Linked DNA regions of Ovis aries. The protein of the gene in region 3 binds, or shares a complex with, the protein of the main gene of each other region. Links are inferred from orthologs where the notes say so. Each region holds a gene or a part of one and is shown on either strand. Other genes may lie near its edges. The genes, in order: VPS54, VPS52, VPS51 and STX6.

Region 1 (5,382 bases), on a different chromosome or scaffold from region 3:
TACTTCAGATCTGAAGACAACTAAGCAGACTAAAAAAATATCTGCATTATGTCACAGATTCTTCCCTCACTGCCTCCTCTTGCAAAGACAGAGAACTGCCAAAGGACCTAAAGTTTAATCTTACCCACCAAACAGCACCCAATGAGAATATTTTCCCATCTGGTGGAAGTCAGGAACATTAGCTCAGGCCCTTACCAGAATCATGCAAACCACAGGATTAGAACATTACTGATATTTAGGGTCAGATAATTCTTTGTTGTATGTCAGGAGGTTGTGGGGGAGGCAGGGTAGAATAGGATATATCTTGCACATTATAAGATATTTAGCAACATCCCTGGCTAGAGGCCAACACCACCCAACCCTCAGCTGTGACAATGAAAAATGTCTTTGGACATTTCCAAATATCCCTCGGAGGGCAAAACTGCCCCTCTTTGAGTACCACCAATTTAAAAGTTAGGGTCCTAGGTCTTGAAAAAGGAGGCCTCCAACCAGCCCTGTATAATTTTTTTTAATTGTTTCTAAAACGTGGATTTTTAAAAAATTAAGACAGTAACAGTACAAAAAGATACCTAAATAATATATATGCCATCCTCCTTTAGCTTAAAGCATTTTATAGGATTTTGTAATATGAATCACATGTATCGTCCCCTTCCTCCCTCCATCCCAAAGATGGGGAAATGTCCAGTTCTCTCACTACTCTGCTAGTAAAATGTCAAATACATACATCCATATATATGTACATACTTATATACACATAAGATCTTAACAGTTCTAACTTGCAAATCCCCATTTCTTGCTTTACATGGTAACACTGTGGTTCTTAAGTCATGTGTCCTAGAGATTCAAGCTTCCACTCAGATTTCCTCATCTGGTTCCTGCCATCTATTTGTGAAGGAAGTAGGAAGTAAGCAGATGACCTTTAAGATCTTTTCAACTCAACATCCAATGGCAAAAACACTCCTTCAACTTTTACTTACTGACTCCCAGCTGACTAAACCACCTCCTCAGATCACTGAAGTCATTCATGCTAACTTTTTTCTTTCTCCAGTAGTAATCTATGATGAATACAACCAAACAGGATGTCAACCATTTAAAATACCACTTTTTAATACCAGTGATCAGTTGATTATTGCCTGACTCAAACTATTTTAAACATGGATATTAATTTTAAAAGAAAAATTTTTCAGGGAGTAATACTGTATACATGAGTGAACCATAACAGGAAAATATTGAGATGGAAAGTAGATTAGTGGTTACCTATGTCTGGGGGTAGGGTGGAATGGGGAGAATGGGGAGTGACTGCTAATGGGCAGAGGTTTCTTTTTGAGGTGATGAAAATGTTCTAAAATTAGATTATGGTAATAGTTGCACAACTATGTAAATAACCTAAAAATGGATGAATTTAACACTTTAAATAAGTGTACTTTACTCAATAAATATTGTAAAAAGCTTAAAGCAGAAAAAGAATTTTAATCAACTCTTATTGATAGGAAAGGAATATGATTAAGAACAAATTCTGCAAAGTTTCCCATTTCAAGAGTTGTGTAAGATTTGATTTTAACTCTGACATAAAAACTTAACACAGAATTAACTTTTCCAGAAAATAAATACAAATTTAATCATCTTTTCCTAATAAACTTTGGATAACTTAAATGCAATGAAAAACATTTCAGAAAGCCAAATGTTAAGGTAACAATACCTCTCTAAGACCAAAATATATTAATATCATCATCAACAACAGAACAGAATACAACCAAACAGGATGTCTTTTTAGTTTTGTTGTAGTGCACCCTTTATAAAGAAAACCATAGAGATATTTTTAATTTCTTTTAAAAGTGATCCTCAAGTTGTAATGTCTGTCCTGATAATGCAATAATTCTAAAATTAACAGAGTATCATTTTAAAATAGCCAAATCACAATAAAATAGCAAACATCTAATCCCTTAGACCATAACTATCAAGCACCCAAAAATTGCACACATTTTTACCAAAACCTATCATAAGCAATGATGACAACTATGAACAATCAAGCAATACCTATTTCTAGGATATCAGAATCTGACTGCAATCAAACAAATCCCATCATTCCATCTTAGAAATTATTAAGGTTCTCATGCTACTTTTCCAAATAGAACACTTCATCAGGTATAAAAGTCAACCTTAATGTCCGTCAAAATCTGCAATTTAAGTTACCACAATAACATTTCTCAGTACACTATCATGACATCACTTGCCTTTTTAAAGCATTTACTATTAAGACTGCTCTGGGGTTTGACAAATCAGACACAGAACCAATTAAAAACAAAACCCAAAAACATTCCAACTGAATTCTTCGAAAGTAAAGAGAGCCTAAATAAAGACCAAAATTAACCTAGTTAATGGGGAACTCTTAAAAACAAACTGCAACCCGGGTCAGCCAAAATTCTAAAAATACCATCCCAAACTCAGCACACGGACAGACCAAGTGTTAATTATAATGGGCTGGCAAAAGTTCCCCTGTCAACGACAGGAGGGCAGGTAAGGCCTGCCTTTGCATCAGTGCAGAGACGGAAAGATGTATAACTGAAGAAAATTAACTACTGAACAAAATGATTGGGAGCTAAACTGCCAAACTGCAAAACATCGAGTTAATTTCTGGGCTGGCCATCTCCAGGAAGAAAAATGACTTTTTAAATTTAAATTATTCCAGTAGGATCAAAAAGCGGCTTAAGGGCCCGGCCAGAAAAAGAAAGGGAAAGTTTGGAGGCAGCGTCTAAGGAGGATGGTGGAAGTTCCACAGCCGAAATCCCAAGAGGGGCGAGAGGGGAGAGAGAGGCGAGAGCGGCGTCGCAGCCGCGGGCTAGGGGCGAAGAGTACAGCTGCCAGCCCGGATCCCGGCGGGAGAGTGAGAAAGAAGAGGAGGAGGTGGTGGCCGGGAGGAATGGAAGCTTCGGCGCTGGTCAGTTGTGACCGAAACTCCGCCGGCTTGGGCCTGGGAGGAGACAGAGGGGGTGGGGTCTCGGTCCTCCCTCCACGGGAAGTCGGGGCGAGGGTGGGCCGCGAAGCGCTGGGGGCCGCGTGGGGCCGGCCCGACACCTACCTGCGGGTCCCGGGCAGCCGCCCCAGAGCGAGGCCTAGTGCATCGCCGCCGCTTCCAAGCCTCCACGTCGCGCCGAGGCTGCTGCTCCGCGGCCGCCGCCGCCCGGAGCCCGGCTGGGCCCGAGCCCGGCTTCCCGCCCCCGCCCCGCGCCGGCTGGCCCGTCGGCCGGGGGAGCACAGGGCCGCCCTCTCGAGCCCAGCTCCGCTCGGGGGTGAGAGGCGGCAGCGGCGGCTCCCTCACGTCTCTCCCGGGTGTCCTGTCAGCCAGCAGTTTCCCCCGGGTCCGCAGCGCCGCCTCCGCCGCTGCTGCCACCGCCTCTCCCACATCCCCGGCCTCCAGAGGAGCCGCCGCCGCCGCCGCCGCCGCCGCCGCCGCGCCGCGACCACTACCCCTAGCGATTCTGCTCCCTGCTCTACTGCTTCTCCTCACCCCGCCCGCCCGCCTCGGTCTGGCTAGGTCCGGGGAGACAGTGCCGGAGGCCGCCGCGAGGCCGCCGCAGCCCCCAGCCCACAATCCACCGCGCGGCTCCACCGGGGCGGGAGGCCGCGGCCCGGGCCGGGGGGAGCGCTTGCCGTCTCGGGAGAGGGCCGGGCCTGGAGCGGGCGCCGCCGGCGTTACCCCGGAGCGGGGAATACCCCGCGCGGCTGCTCAGCGCCTCCTCTAATCTCTAATAACTCCCCAGGCAGAGACAGAAACCCACGCTGAACTCGATTTTTCCCTACGACCCCTCCCCCACCCCCAGGTGCTCTCGGCTGCAGCCCGGTGCCGCTTGCCGCCTTCCCGGGTCGGTATGCGACCCCTCAGGGTGGCCCTCGCCCAACCCCTAGACCAACCGACACCAAACATCCCTCAATCACCCAGCACCTATTAAAGTAGATACTTCCACAACATTCCACTTGTCCTTTCACCCCTTGAAAGTGAAGGCTATTCAGAGTATCCCAGTTAAGTGTCCTTTGAAAGGTTTAAGGTCACCCCCTCCCCAGCAATCCACTGGACTCTGGAAACAGTGCACTCCCTATGGAGGCCTTCTCCCACCAAATCCCAAGTTTTCCCAAGTTCCAGGCCTTCCTCTCAGGCACCTATCACACTTCTCTAGCCGTGGAATCAGTTCTTCCTGCTCTTTGACTGAAATACTTGAAGAGTGTGTGTGTGTGTGTGTGTGTGTGTGTGTGTGTGTGTATTATTAATACCTCCTCACTATGATTCTCAACAGTAATCCAATTTAGCCTGGTTTCCGAGGGCTGGTGACCTTAATCCAGTTAATAGAATCCACAAGAAAGAGAATGTGTTAGGATACATTTTAAGAGAGAGAAAAGGGCCTTTTGAATGCTTAGTTTATCACGTAGTGTGTTTCATGTGTTTTATCAAATCAAAAGTGAAAATGTAACTCTTACCGTTGGAGATTGAAAAAATAAAGTTTCCAATTTCACTTATAAGAAGTCATTTTGAAAACTGCAAACATAACTCTTTGTGAAATAGTATTTTACCCACTAAAGAGCTAAAGTTGGGGGAAGGGAAAGACAATAGAGAAGAAAGCAACAAAAATAATTGAGAGGAAATTCTTACTTTATATTGTTCTAAATTCAATTCTCTACAATTTTGTAATGAGAACAGTAATCTCCAACATTAACTAAATTTAACTATAAAAATAATAAAGAAATCCTCCTAAGTCCTGGATAAAACCAGATGAGTTTACATTACACACATTACATACATTACACAGGAAAGACACCAAATTTCACCAAAGGCCAGAGAGGAAAATAATTCACTTTAAATCTAGAATCAGTTCATAGATTATACTATAAAATGGATGCAACAAGTTCCTATATTTTGAAACCACATCAGGAAACCAACAGTAGTTCAAAAGCTGCCTTATACCCAGTGGTTTGGCCTTTTAAAAAATATTTGCACTTATACCCGACCTTGCTCTGAAAAAGATTCCAGGTTGCCATAGTTGGCACTTGGGTTAGAGAATAGCTATGAAGTATCTCTCAGACACTAGCACAAGACAGACAGGTTTGCCTTCCTCATCATCCATTTGTAGATAACAAACCATAGGAAGAAAATACATGTTGAGTATTGCACTTAGTTCTTTCAGGGATCCAGCATGATTTTATTTTTACTAATCCACAGAACAGTTCATAATCATGAATCTAAATCTAAAACTAAATGCTGATAATCAGGTTTGCCAAAAACATAACAAAAAACTATTAACTGGCTAAGGAATTTAATTTAGAAGTAGGTATATTTCAGATTAATATGTTCACTTGTTATCCCTTAAATCATTGCAGTATTGAAAAGAC
Region 2 (4,199 bases), on a different chromosome or scaffold from region 3:
CTAGCCCCGGGACCACCAGGGAAGTCCCTCCCTTGCACTGTGTTTTATTTGTTTGTTTGCCTTTTCATTTTAACTTTGTGTTTTGGGAAATCTCAAATGTACGTCCTATGTAGAGGATAGCATGGTGAGCCCCCAGGCGCCGTCACACATCTTCAGCCAATGACAGGACAATTGTTTCATCTGTATCAAAACCTGTTGTTCATCCTCCCATCCGTCCCCCAACCCTCAGTGATTTTGAATTAAATTCTGTACACCACTATCACTTCATCTGTGTCAGGATATGTTTTTTAAACCACAATACTTTATCACACTTTTAAAAAAAGATAGGACTTGGGGCTTTCACTTGAGGTGGCCTGGAAAAAAAAAAGAAAGTAGCTAGTATTCATGTATCCCCACTTATAAACAGTGGTTCAAGTCAGGATCCATATACAGTCCATACGTGCCTCTCTTTTTTCTGTTTATTTGGCTGTGCCGGGTCTTAGTTGCGGCGTGTGGGATCTAGTTCCCTGACCAGGGATCAAACCTGGGCCCCCTGCATTAGGACTGTGGAGTCTTAACCACTGGACCACCAGGGAAGTCCCCGTATGTCTCTTTTTAATCTATAGATTTCCCTTCTATCTCCTCCCTGTCTCCTCCATGCAGTTTATTTGTACAAGAAATGGAGTCATTTGTCACGTAGAATGCCGTACAGTCTGGATTTTGCTGCCTGCCTTGCATAGCATGCCTAAGCTATTCCTCTTTTCCCATAAATGTGTGATTCAATGGAAACGCTTGATCAGATTCCAGGTAGATTTTTTTTACAAGGCTGTTTGAGAAGTAGTGGTGTGTACTTCTCTCAGGGCACTTAATGTCTTCTTGGCTTTCTTTTTGCCAGTGGCCATCAGTGATCACCACCCAGACCATTAGATTTCTAAATCTCTCAATGTCTCAAAAATTTCCATCTCCTTATCTGTGCTGCATTTTGAGTCATTTCTTCAATTGTAAATTCCAGTTTGCTCAGTCATTTTTCCAGGTACATCCAGTCTGCTGTTTAGCCAGCTGACATAAAAAAAAAAAATTTTTTTTAATGTTTTTTTCTAAATCATTTCTTTTAAATCCCATTTTGTTTCAAGTCTGTTTCTGATCTTGGTAGTAGGTCACGTTTGTGTGGCGTCTTTAACTTCTTTGAACATTGCATACAGAATATGCAGCTGCTCTGTGTGTGACAGTTTTAACACTGGCAGTCTTCGGAGGTCTAAGTCCACTGCTTACTGTCTATTCTGACTCGTCGTAGCTTGCTTGCTTCTGTGACTGGGTATCTTCGGGCTCTTTTCTTGGTCTCAATCAGGGGTAGTCATCGGGGCCTAAATGGGGATCAGGGAGGTTTCAGAGAAGGCTTGCCTCTGCTTTTGTAATAGCTGAAAGTTGCCATCCACCTGGGTCTACACTGGCACCTCTGAGAGGCTCTCATGAGACCAAGCTCAGCATCTCCACTCAAGGCCTGCATCAGCTCAGCTTCCTGATAGCAGAGCTGCCGTGACCACTTACTTTTTTGTAGCCCTGCCTCTCCCAGGCGCTCAGGGCCCACTTCTCTGGTTCTGGCCCTCTGCTCCCAGCTCACTTTTTTAAATTTAAACAAAGGTTTTGTGGCTTATTTATTTATTTTGAGAAGGGAGGAGATTTCCCCTACGTCTTGTGAGACCGACAGTGTCTTAAAGTATATGACCTTTCTAGAGGTTCGCTGTTGTTATGGGAGTGTTCTAAGGACCTAGTTGGTCATGGTGCCAGAATTGGGAAAAGTCTGCCCCCCCCCCCCCCCCCCCGGAATCTGAGCTCTGTGTGTGTGTGTGTGTGTTCCTACAGGAATTCATTGAAGAGTTGCTGTCTCCCCCCTTTGGGGGCCTGGTGGCATTTGTAAAGGAAGCCGAAGCTTTGATTGAGCGAGGACAAGCGGAGCGACTCCGAGGGGAAGAAGGTCTGAGGATGGGGTGGATGGGGTGGGGTGAGGGGAAAGAGGATGGGAAAAGAAAACTGCAAGGATGCAGATTACATGGGGAGGGCGAACACCAGAACGGGGTTGCAGGGTGAGGACCTAGCGGGATCAGACATCACTTAGCCATGATCTTTTTCCTCCTCCTCTCAGCCCGGGTTACTCAGCTGATCCGTGGCTTCGGCAGTTCCTGGAAATCATCGGTGGAGTCTCTGAGTCAGGATGTGATGCGGAGCTTCACCAACTTCAGAAATGGAACCAGCATCATCCAGGTAACCTGTGACTCCCGGTCCCCATTCGCACCCCGCCCCATCACTGGTTTGCCCTCCTCTTTTCTCGGGGCTCGGAATCATACAAGTGACCCTTGATCTTCAACTACCAGCTGTGCCCAAAGTTCTGGCCGAGCCCTAAGCTGACGGCTATCATCATCCTTAGAATCACCCTGCATCTCATCCCTCCGTGACTTTCTCTGAGCAGGGAGCTTTGACCCAGCTGATCCAGCTCTATCATCGCTTCCACCGGGTGCTGTCTCAGCCACAGCTGCGAGCCCTCCCTGCCCGGGCTGAGCTCATCAACATCCATCACCTCATGGTGGAACTCAAGAAGCACAAGCCCAACTTCTGAGGCGCCGGGCCCTGGGGGCCACCAGCCCTCTCCATGGACTTCTGAGCCCCATCCTATCCCCCTTTTCACCCGGGGCTCCCTGCCAGTGCCCCTTTGCCTCCTAGGCTCTCACAGGCCTCACTCTGCCTTCATTCCTGGGACTGTGCTTCGTCAGGATAAGCCGGATCCCCTTGGCTTTGGGCATGTCTCATGTCCAAGTTTCCCAGGACCACTCGCTCCTGGGCTTCCAAACTAACCTCCGTTATCTTTCCAGTGTTGTCATTCCGCTCTTTCCTCCCACTGCCCCACCCCCAAGGCCTTTTTCTTCTCCCAGTAAAACCTTCTGGTTCACTCAGCTCTTGTCATCGTGGCATGAGGTGTGACGCCTCGACTCTTGGAATTGTTGTGGCAAGGGAAGACTGTCTCATAACGGTTGACTTTTTTTTCCCTTCCACTCAGTGATTTATTTTCTGTAGCTTTTTGACCTAAGATCTCAGCAACTTGAACACTAATCAGTCGCCTCCTGGCTTCAGAGTTACATCAAGGTCAGTGTGCAGAAAACAATAAATACTTAATATGATACAACACTCTTTTCCCATTTCTTTTCTCCTCCTCCTGGGAGAGGAGGTCCTTCAAGTAGCCCCGTCTCTGCCCCAGGATCACCTTTGCTCTCTGCCTCCTGGGCCTGCATCCCTTTCTGGTGGGTGTCCAGAAACTCGGGGCCGTGGTTACCTCTAACCTGCAGCTCCTTCAGGCCAAAGTGGCTGCATTGGTTTTAGGGCGGGAACTGTTTCAGGAGTAACCAACCTGGCTGAGGAAGTGACCCTGGTGAAAACGGCAGATGCCGGCCGCCTCGGCTCCTCTAAGGCAGACACCGGCTCTCCTTGCCTCTGGCCTCCCCAGGTTGACGCTGGGATTGCCTTCTCTCCTTGAGGGTCAGCTCCCTAGCTCCTCCGGTGCGACCGTCACAGCCCTTGCTAGGGGGCTGCAGTTGCCATTGCGCTGGGCCGTGAGCAGGCCAGGTCTGCAGTGTGGCCATCTCATCCCTTCCTGTGTCTCGGCCCCTTCCTGCTGCTGCCGCCTTACGGTCCTGGTCCCGTTTGAACTCAGACTCTAGACCGAGGAGACTTGGGGGTGCCTGGAAATGCGGAGGGGGAGGGCCAGTGCCGTCGGGGGGACATGGTAACTCGGGGACGTCCCCCCACCCCCGACCTTCTCGTTCCCCCAGTGGCTGCTTGGGCCCTCTGGATGCTGGCCCAGCCCGCACGCGGAGGCGGGGAGAATCAGGGTGCAAAGCGGCGCGCCGTCTGCTCCGCGCCGGGGCTGGGGGCGAGGCCCGCGCTTCGCAGGGTTAGGGCCGGAGAGCGGCCGCGCCAGCCGCCTCTCCCGCTCGCGCCTTTTCCCGGCTCTAAGAGCGGCGCGCGGACCAGCCTCGGGACCCGCACCTCGGAGCTTTGGCCTCGGATGGTCTGAGGAGCCCGGAGGGATGGCGGGGGTGCAGGGGAGAGGCCTTAATGACCGCACCCCGCGTCCCCGCCACCCTCGCCTCCTCTGGCGTTCTCCGGGCTTTGCCCACCCTGACTCCCCCGCAGACCTTCCCTGAGGCCCGCCGCGCTCTGGGCGGTGG
Region 3 (5,322 bases):
GAATGTTGTTTTCATGTTCAGTCATCTCAAAGCATTTTCTGATTTCTTTGTGATTTTTCCTTGACGAACTGGTTACTTAGGAGCATAGTTTAATTTTGACAAATTTGCAAATTTCTCAAATTCCTTTCTGTTATTGATTTATAATTGAATTCCACTATGTTCAGAGAACACTAATCACTTGATTCCAATCCTCTTAAATTTACTGAGACTTGTATGCCCTACGATATGGTCTATCCTGGAGACTGTTCCATGTTCACTTAAGAAGAATGTGTATTCTGCTGTTGTTGCAGGAGAGGGTTTTATATGTGCCTGTTAGGTCTATTTGGTTTAAGTGTTGCTTTTCATTTTTAAAATTTTATTTATTTTTAAGTGAAAGGTAAATTGCTTTGCAGTATTGTGCTGGTTTCTGCCATACGTCAACATGCATCAGCTGTAAGTATACATATGTCCTCTCCCTCTTGAGCCTCCCTTCCACCTCCCACACTATCCCACCCCTCTAGATTGCCACGAGCCCCAGTTTAAACTTCCTGAGTAAGTACTGTTTAAGCCTTCTATTTTCTTGCTGTCTTTCTGTCTAACTGTTCGCTCCATTTTTGAAAGTGGGATATGGACATTTCTAACTATTATTGCTGAATTTCTTTTTCTGTCTTTAATTCTACCCAATTTTGCTTTATGTATTCGGGATTCTGTTGTTAGGTCCATAAGTGTTTATATTCGTTAACATCTTAATGAGCTGCCTGTTGTAAAATGTCCTTCTTTCTCTTTAGTAACAATTTTTGTCTTACATATTATTTTGTCTGAATTGGTACTACTATCCCAACTCTCTTCTGGTTACTGTTTGCAAGAAGTATCTCTAGAGTTCTTATGATAAAGACCATAATCCTTATCTTGTCTACAAAGGGCCCTCCTGACGTGGCCCCACAGGCTCCTCCAGGTTCATGTCATGCCTTACTCCCCTTAAAAACAAAAACAAGAAAAAACCTAGCTCGTCATGTTTCCACTCTTACACCAGATCTTCTTGCAGTTTCTCGGGCACTACATCTGCCATCCAGTGTTCAAGCTGAAACTAGGGCATTCTGTTTATTCAAACCTCTTCAACACTATGTCCTGTCAATGGTACCCCTAACACTTCTCAGTTTACTCATCACTGTCCACCTCCACCATCACCATCCTGGAGTAAGCTCCCAGAATCTCTGGTCTGGACTACTGAAATGGCCTCACTCTAACCCCCTCTCCAATCTATTCCTTCCTATGCAGCTAGGAGGTAGAGGGATCTTTTCAAAACAAAAATCGTAACAGCTTGATTAGCTAAGTATGCTTTAGATAAAGGCTGGATTCCTTAACGTGCTCTGGAAGGTCTCTAGTTGAACTCTATCTGCCTATCCACCTGACTGGCTCTGGCCACAGTCTGCTCTCCCTCCTGCTACAGTAGACAGGCTCCTGGCCTTGTCTTCAGGTGAACCTCTCCACTGTGCACTGCTCAATCCCCTCCTTCTTTCCTGAGGACCTTGCTTCTGTAGTTTCTCCCTCTCTTGCACCACTGATGAGCACTCCATGAGCTAACATATTGGTCAAGCTTATCAATTTCTTAGAATGCCTTTCTTCATTCATCTTCTAAGACACCTAGGGTCCTGGTTGTTCTCAAACTTTCCCAAATGTTTGCTCCTTTGAGAAAGAAGATTTGTGAGAGTTTCCTGCTCTTCGTGACTTCCAAATCTTAGGATGCCCCAAGCTTCAGTCCTCAGACCTCTTCTCTCTGTACACTCCCTCCTTAGATCTCATCTTGTTCCACTTTCATCTCAAGTTCCAGCCTTCTCTGAACTCCAGATCCCTCAACTAACAAACTTTAAAGAATCTTGAGCCATTCTGCTTTCCCACTGCACCCACCCTGGTCCATACAACCAGCATCTTGCCTGGACTGTTAAAACAGCCTTCTAATGGGTGTCTCTACCATCCTTGCCTCCCTATAGTCCACTTTTGACAGGGGATAGAAGGGTCCTTTTAAATCAAAAGCCAGGTCACCCCATCTTCTGTTCATTTCATCTCACTCAGAGTAAAGATAAGATACACTGCAGGTAGACCCATGAGATCTTCCTCTAGGACTAAGTACATGTGGGTCAAAAATTATTACAGAAGTCTGAGCAGTACATTTCCCCAACACAGGACAGAAGCTAGCATGGATGAAAGCTGAACACTGCCTAGCACTGTCTTGAATAGAGAATAAACGGAACAGAAGAGGGTGGGGGGAAGCCTTTACATGATCTTTGTCCCTTAATGACATACATTTTCTGTCTCTTTGCTTCATTTACAAAAAGAGAAAGGAAGAGGAAAAGGGGAAAGAGGAGGGAAGAAAGGAAAGAAGAGAGAAAAGGAAAGAGAGAAATAAGCCCATTCTTGATTCAGACTTGAAACAGAAGAAAGCTACCACTAATGAAAGAAACTGTTACCGAGGCATCCTTAGTGTCAGAGATTCTAAGTGCTTCAGATAAATTCATTTCTTTTTAAAATTTCATTTTGTCTTTTTCTCCCCTTTGGTCCTCAAAACAACCCTCTGAGAACAGTTATTACCTCAATGGTTATCAAACCACAAAAGCTCTAAGAGAGAGAGATGAGAGTGTATTCGCGTCAGGGTAGGACCATAATCTGGGTCTGCTCTGTCTAAACCCTCTGCTGGTTTCCCCAACACTGGAGGAACTGGGGGATGTGGGACGTGAGGATTCGTGTCCCAGTAGGAATCACCTGTCGCTGAGATGAACTTGTTGTAGTTCTCATAGACCAGGGTCTGCATGTCGCTGTCTAGAGCCCGGATCTGCCGCACCATGTCCGTCTCACTGTCCATCAGCTGGGCCAGTGGGCACTCTCTACGCAGCTGGAGGAAATTAGGTGGTTAGTGTCCAGGACAGGGGGCACTCATGTCCCCAACTGGTAGGCTTTTGGTGCAAGAAAGTCCTGGTCTCACCCCTGTCAAGAACTCCAGACAAGGAAACTATGTGGCATAGCTCAAGAGTTCCCAGGGTAGCCCCTATTTTAGGTTTGTCAGCATTTCAAACCCTCAGATTTAGCAAGCCCTGGTCCTTCCTACGCCAGTCAGCGCCTGGGACACGCCCCCTATTTCGGGTCTAACTGAACATCAGCCCAGGAGACCTCAGACTTCACACCACTTCAGGCCAGTTCAAGTCTGCCCACGCCCCCTTATCCTCCAGCTCTGCCCCTACAGCTCCACCCGGGGCTGTCCTGCTTTTATGAACCCTTCCTCCCACACCCCCGCAAAAAGTCGGAGGCATGATCTGGGGCGTAATATATCGGGGCCTGTTCCCCCTCCCCCTACACACACCTTATCCAGGTATACTTCCGGGTCGAAGTGCGCCCCATTGAGATCTGTAGGGTCCAAGGGGTCTGGCCCCGAGGGGCGTCCCGCCGCCTCCCCCTCTGAGAGGCCGTAGTAAAGCTTCAGCATCCCGTGAGCCTTCCGCCGACGCTCTGGAGCCTCCGCCTCGGGTCCTTCCGGGGAGTCCCCAGGTCTAGACCCTGGGCCAGGCGCAGCGGCTGCCGCCGCCATGGCTCCAAGTGCAGCCCACAGGCGTGAGGCTGGGCAGGGGACAGGGAGGAGGCACTTCCGGGAGCCATAAAGTTGTTGTTGAAACGAGGCAGTCCTTCAGGTGAAACGTCCCCCTGCAGCCTCGAGTCCTTCGAGACTAGAGTTCCCCCGCATGCTTTCTCCCCGAGCTCAGAGGTTCCGGGAAAGCCCTGGGTTCCCGCCCCCACGCCCCACCCCCCACCCCCGCACCCCTTCACCCGCCTCTCCAGCTTCTCAGATGGAAGGATTTTGCGAAACTGGTTGGGTCGCTGTCTTCCCGGAAGGAGGACGAGTCGTGGCTTCCACCCTATGTCCCTAGATGCAGGCAGTGGAGGGAGCGCGGGCCAGTGGAGCCAGAAAGCGTGTGCCTGGCATCCTGCCACTGCCTTGTTGAGGGGAGAGGGGGTGGGCAGCAGCTCATTTTCCTTCATTCCTAATATCGGGGTACATATTTAACAAGGAGACTGTGAGGATTAAATGCATATATTCTCGCCTGGAAAACCCCATGGAGCCTGGCGGGCTACAGTCCATGGCGTCTCAAAGACACGACTTAGGGACTAATGGACAACCACAGTGCCTCAAGTGAAGTGTCTCTGATGACCTGGTCCTCTGACGCGCATCAGAATAGCCTTCAGAATTACCTGTGGCGAGTTGTGAAGACTGGGCTCCCCTCAGACCTAGCTTCTTTTTTTTAAGTCTTTAAGTAATTCTGATGCACTTACATTTGAGAACTCCTGTTATACCCTGAGAAGACACACTTGGTAGATCTTAACTCACTGATAAGGCTTCCCTGGTGGTTCAGTGGTAAAGAATCTGCCTGCAATGCAGGAGACCTGGGTTCCATCCCTGGGCTGGGAAGATGCCCTGGAGAAGGGAATGGCAGATCACTCCAGTATTCTTGCCTAGGAAATCCCATGGACAGAGGAACCTGGCCAGGCTACAGCGCATGCACTACGGAAAGACCAACTTTGTTTCTCCAAGTGACTGTTGAAATGCTCTGCCTAGAGGGGTTAGGCGGAGGTGTTGAAGCTAATTCTCAGGTTTCTGGTTGGGACAAATGCACAGCTGTTCACTGAAGTAAAGAACTGAAGGTAAGGAAAGACTTGTGAGTTCAAATTGAGACACACGGAGTTTGAGTGGATGAAAAAGGAGAAAAAGACTTTGTCAGTGTGGTCTTTGAAACATATTATGGGTTGGGGGTCCGGGGTGGAATGGAAACCACTTTATTTATTCTTTGGCAGGCAAAACCATTTACTATCTTGTTTTTCACAGAAAGTTTGTTGACCCCTAAATCTATGGGATATTCAGAGACTGTCTAAAATATATATATATGAAGATTTCAGCTTATGAAGCTATAATCTTAAGAAAAATGAAGACAAAAGTATAAAGATTTAGATCTACTCCAGGAAATCTATAAACTTAAAAAAAAATCACAGAATACTGTTATGAAAAATTATCCAACAGTTGGAATAAAGACAGTGTAGCATGACCTTCCAATACCATACTGGGGCATTGTTTCACAAGCCCACCCAAAGACTATTTAATTACCCACAGGAGTGTACATTTGTTTGATCTTGCTATTTAGATAGTGTTGGAGAGATGTGAAACATCTCCAGTGAAAATATCCAGTGGAAAAATAACCTCTAAATTTTGTTTTTATTGCCCTGTAGGACATCAACCAATCTTGTATCTAGTAATCATGTCCTAACACTCTTCTTCAAATGCCTATCAATACCTAGTGCCTC
Region 4 (4,684 bases), on a different chromosome or scaffold from region 3:
AATGTTAACCACAATTTTGTTTAAGGATGTTCATTTGTTTTCTGGTCTTCTGCTTATCTTGTTAGGACATGAAGGATCAGATGTCAGCTTCATCTGTGCAGGCGTTAGCTGAGAGGAAAAATAGACAGGTGAGTAAACATTGGAATATACAGTATCACAGAAAATACACAGATACGTGGACTTGACAAATTCTGACATCCGTGTATCATGTCTTCAAGCAGAAGACCTTGGTGCTGAGCCCGTAGTGAGGGCAGCAGCCTCCCCCCTCCCCCGCCACATCCTCTGGTTCTCGCCTCTGGGCTCCCGTTGCACGCTCTGTGTACCTCATAGCCCTTGCCGCAAACCATTTATTCTGCACCTGTGGAGCACGTTCTGTGTGCCAGGAGCTTTGTTAAGAGCCGTAATTGCTTGCTTGCTTGTCATTTTCTCTGCTGGACCTCAAGCTTCTTTGTGAGTAGGGAGGGATTGTGTCATGGTGTTTCTCTTCTGTTCTTTTTAGATTTCTAGCTGCCCATGTGTAGGATGCTCTAGATATTTAATGACTGAAACTTTACATAAAGTAGTTGAAGAAACTTAAATATGTGTTGAATCTTTCACTGTTTCATGTATCTTTTTATTTCTTTTTTGATGTGAGGTCCAGCTTTTGTAAGTTATTACAAATAAATTATGAAACCTAATAAATTTCAGAAACCAAAGCCCAGATACTGACACATCAAAAATAAAAGCTACAAGAGACTCAGTCCTTGAATTTAGTCGGCTGATAATTGAAGAACAGCTCACCATTTTTAATTAACTAGGAATCAGTAGTTTATGATACACTCTTCACTTTATACCTCTAGGTATTTCTTGACCCACTTAAAGGGAAGAGGATTCTCTAAATATCTTCTAGCTTAATTTTCCTGTTTTCTTTCCCCACATGCCACTTTCCAAGTCACTGTTGTTTTTTTTCCCCATCCACCCAACAGTGCAGACAGGAAAAGATGTTAGCTAGCCATCCCATCTGGCGCTGACTCTTGGAAAAGCCAGTGAACTAACATAAATAAAACGCAGATTTATGCAGAGGCTTCCTGACTGTGGCTGGGAATTTTGTTTCAGGCGATGAGTGAAATATCTTCGGGCTTCCCAGGTGGCTTAGTGGTAAAGAATTCACCTGCCAGTGCAGGAGACTTGGGTTTGATCCCTGGGACGGGAAGATCCCCTGGAATAGGAAATGGTAACCCACTCCAGTATTCTTGCCTGGGAAATCCCATGGACAGAGGAGCCTCGTGGGCTAGTCCATGGGGTTGCAAGAGTCAGACACAACTTAGCAACTACACTACAACAAAATGTCTTCGAGTCACAGGCATTCAAGGAATGGAAGGTGGACAGAGTCCACCTCACGGCTGCTTCCAGCACCGGGTGCTGGGCTGATCCTCACAAAGCCAAGGCCTCCTGCTTTGGCAGCTATACTTGGGCTGGTCCCCAGTGCTCTGGGCCCTCTCTCCATCTTCTTTCTCACTAACCAACTCCTGGAGGTCAGACCAAGGGGATCTCGACAGCTTCACGGGTGACTCTTAACAGCATGCCATATGCCTACCCAAGTGTAGACCATGGATAAGCTAGGAAAAAATAGCCATGACTGTGACCCCAGGAGCTCTGGTTCTCTATCCATAGCCTAATGATGCACTGTAGACTTTTTCTGACCTTGAAAAAATTGTTACTAGGCCCCAGTATCCACCATAGACTCATTAGAGTCTTTGCATCAAAACGAGCAGGATCCTTTCAATCTTAACAGCTCCATGACCAGATGGGGCAGAAGCATCCCCCCAGAACCTTATGTCTGTTCTACACCAGAGACAGTCACCATCCAGACTCTTGACTAAGGCTCTGGGCTGTGGAAGTTCTCAGGCATCCTGGTCCTCTTCTCATATCTGCCTCAGAACTCAACATACATCCTGAACTTTCCTGAATGTAGCCTCTGAAATGTGGCCATTTGGCCAAATTCATGTCTGAAAGTCAGGCAAGGCTAGTGTGGCTATTGAGGGGCTTTGCAGACAGAGAACCAAGGAATCAGTTAGACTTTTAACAGTTCCAGAGCTAAAGGTACCTGGTAAGAAGTTTTGGCAGCTCTACAAGATAGAAGAATCCTCGTCACTAGCTTGGTCCAGTTCTTTGGTTAAAAAGGCTTGTGGGGATCCCAGGCAGGGTCAGCTTGCATTCCTGGCTGGCCTCTTCAGTGAAGGAAAACATTCCCAAACTTAATCTTTTCTGACTACAGAATTCCTCAAATTCATACTAGGAAACCCAGCCCTGGTGTCTGGGGGCCCAGGTGGAGCCAACCCTGACATCAGGGCCAACCCTTGCTTGGGTTATCAGGGTCAGGCCCCCACTGTGGCCGTGCTCTCTTCTGAAGCAACCCCTAATCCATCTGGGAAGCCTCTAGCCTTTTAGTTCAGCTGAAGGGCATTGGGATTCATCTGTGGGTCACACTGAGCAGACACTGGTGGTTCTTGTGCCTTCCCTGCATGAGGGACTATGACTTAGTTTCTTGTCACTTTAGGGAACTATCTCCTCCCTCCTCTGAACACCAAAAATTTTCCTTGCTCATACTTAAATAGAAGGGACTCTAGATGTCTGGAATTAGTTAGACTAGGACCTTCAAAAGGTCTCCAGTGAAATTCCAAGGGTGCTAGGAAGAACTGGTCCTATGAGAACAAGTGCTTTACGATCCACAAAGCAGTGCACAGAGGGGCTTTAAGATTGCTTTAAAGTTGACTCTCACTTGCATTTTTAATGGGACAGAGCTCTTTTGTGAGTCAATAGAAAGTGCCCTTCATGGCATTCTCTGATTTGTACTCCGCAGGCACCAACCTGCACCAGTCCATAAAAAGCTGATCCCTGGAAAGACAGCTCATGAGCAGTGGGAGGACTCTTCATATCATGGTGATGGGACCCTTGTTTAGTGAGAGTAATGGTTTGTCCCTCCTGCCCTGCTGCCCCTGGCCCCACTTTCACAGGCCCTGCTAGGAGACAGTGGCGGACAGAACTGGAGCGCTGGAACGTCGGATAAATATGGGCGCCTCGACCGGGAGCTTCAGTTGGCCAACTCCCATTTCATCGAGGAGCAGCAGGCACAGCAGCAGGTACCTGAGTGCAGGACGGGGAGGTGGGAGGCCAAGCACCACCCTCCCCACTGCTCTGCCAGCCAGGGCCCTGTTGCTAATGACAGGCAGGAGGGGCCAGAGCTAGCCCCACAGCTGCCGGAGTCTACCTGTGTGAAGGTGGCTTACATAAAGGGTGTTTAAGACACCCTTCAGAGCATGACAGTTTCAAGAGAACCAAGCTTGATTAGACCTCTTAGGACAAGCAGACCAGACACCCGCAACTGACAGAGAAGGCCATTGATTTAAAAGCATAGCAGCTTCTTCCCCAGCCTCCACTTCTGTACTCAGCTTTTTGTTCATTTCAACAAAGGCACTTTGAGAAAAATTGAGTCCTTGTTTTTTCATTGAAAATGGTTGTTGGTTCCATTAGACGTAAAAATCATTGCTTGGTGGAGGTTAAGGGGTAGAAGGAAAGGTTGATTACGTTTGTGTGGTTGCTTTTGATTTGTATTAATTAAAGGGAGCTAATAGTAAAGTGTCTGGGGATTTGAGCATTACCACCCCATCAAAACTATTAGTTCTTAAATACTCTGTTTTATATATACGTGTTGATCTTTTTCCATTAGTACATCAGCTTAACCATTTGTCTACTTAAATTGCCATTAACCAAGCGAACTTTTTTTTTTTTTCAATGAAAAGTGAGGCTACTGCAGCCAATTAAAAGTAACTTGTGCTCAGAAGTTGCCTGCAAGGTAGCTTACTGCCGCAGAGCCTCCTCTCACGTGTCCTTGAGGAGGGAGCAAAGGACTCTGTGTGTGTAGTTTTCCCATGTCCAGAGACCTGTCAGACTTTCTCTTGCAGTTGCGTTGTGGCCAGCTGCTGCCAACTGAGACCCTGATCCTGGCAGCGGGCTTCCTCTTCCCCAGCATCCCCACGTGTCCGTGGTCACTGCACAGGTGCTTTTGGCCATTGTCTGTCCCTTGCTGGACTTCAGCCAACCAGGGTAAATCTCTCTGGGTGGTTTCAAGCCCCGCTGACTGTTTCACAAGTTGGATCAGCAGGGGATATCAGTAGCTTGACAGCCCAGCCTTTTGAGCAGCGTGTTCTCTGAGGCGGACGGTCTGGTCCTTTGATTTCTGGGCTTTGCTTCTGAATGTGAATTGTCCCGAGTTGGCAAAGAAGCTAGCAGCTGCTCGAGTGCTGGGCTTGGAACCAGGTAAGATGGATTTTAATTGCTTATTTCCCATTTCTCTGGCACCAGCTGATCGTGGAACAGCAGGATGAGCAGTTGGAGCTGGTCTCTGGCAGCATCGGAGTGCTGAAGAACATGTCCCAGCGCATCGGAGGGGAGCTGGAGGAGCAGGCCGTGTGAGTACTGGGATGCCCCTCTCGCCGCAGAGGTGAAGGAAAGCGCCATCTTAGGAGACCCCTGAAGAGCCTGCCGATTACATGGCTAGTAAAGCCGAAAGCTGTTTTGTTTCTAGCTGCATCTTCACTCTGTTTTACAGATTAACCTCTCCAAAAAAGGCAAATCCGTCAGATACAATTTTCAAGAAGGTTTAGGCAAAGTTATTAAACATCTGCAAAAGAGGTACCAATTC

Evidence for each region.
Region 1: VPS51 (region 3) and VPS54 share a complex: the UniProt entries of both Homo sapiens proteins name them as parts of the golgi-associated retrograde protein (GARP) complex. The link is inferred for Ovis aries from reciprocal best matches to the Homo sapiens genes VPS51 and VPS54.
Region 2: VPS51 (region 3) and VPS52 share a complex: the UniProt entries of both Homo sapiens proteins name them as parts of the endosome-associated retrograde protein (EARP) complex. The link is inferred for Ovis aries from reciprocal best matches to the Homo sapiens genes VPS51 and VPS52.
Region 4: the proteins of VPS51 (region 3) and STX6 are in contact, whole or in part, in a crystal structure (PDB 4J2C), measured with the Homo sapiens proteins. The link is inferred for Ovis aries from reciprocal best matches to the Homo sapiens genes VPS51 and STX6. Residues at the interface, in NP_037397.2 of Homo sapiens: Ala33, His34, Met36, Leu37, Leu39, Tyr40, Tyr41, Gly42, Leu43; in NP_005810.1 of Homo sapiens: Met3, Glu4, Asp5, Pro6, Phe7, Val9, Val10, Glu13, Trp59, Asp60, Asp63, Leu64, Glu66, Thr67, Ile70, Val71, Phe78, Arg88.

What each region holds. Positions count from the first base shown.
Region 1 is NC_056056.1:44,279,803-44,285,184, reverse strand, and holds the start of VPS54 (vacuolar protein sorting-associated protein 54), read right to left. Parts: upstream 3,207-5,382; 5' UTR 3,080-3,206; intron 1-3,079. UniProt on the Homo sapiens protein: Acts as a component of the GARP complex that is involved in retrograde transport from early and late endosomes to the trans-Golgi network (TGN).
Region 2 is NC_056073.1:7,582,495-7,586,693, reverse strand, and holds the end of VPS52 (vacuolar protein sorting-associated protein 52 homolog), read left to right. Parts: intron 1-1,842; coding exon 1,843-1,954; intron 1,955-2,122; coding exon 2,123-2,241; intron 2,242-2,446; coding exon 2,447-2,593; 3' UTR 2,594-3,157; downstream 3,158-4,199. UniProt on the Homo sapiens protein: Acts as a component of the GARP complex that is involved in retrograde transport from early and late endosomes to the trans-Golgi network (TGN).
Region 3 is NC_056074.1:39,753,694-39,759,015, reverse strand, and holds the start of VPS51 (vacuolar protein sorting-associated protein 51 homolog), read right to left. Parts: upstream 3,602-5,322; 5' UTR 3,560-3,601; coding exon 3,335-3,559; intron 2,870-3,334; coding exon 2,740-2,869; intron 1-2,739. UniProt on the Homo sapiens protein: Acts as a component of the GARP complex that is involved in retrograde transport from early and late endosomes to the trans-Golgi network (TGN).
Region 4 is NC_056065.1:61,503,723-61,508,406, reverse strand, and holds part of STX6 (syntaxin-6), read left to right. Parts: intron 1-65; coding exon 66-128; intron 129-2,996; coding exon 2,997-3,122; intron 3,123-4,344; coding exon 4,345-4,451; intron 4,452-4,684. UniProt on the Homo sapiens protein: SNARE promoting movement of transport vesicles to target membranes. Targets endosomes to the trans-Golgi network, and may therefore function in retrograde trafficking.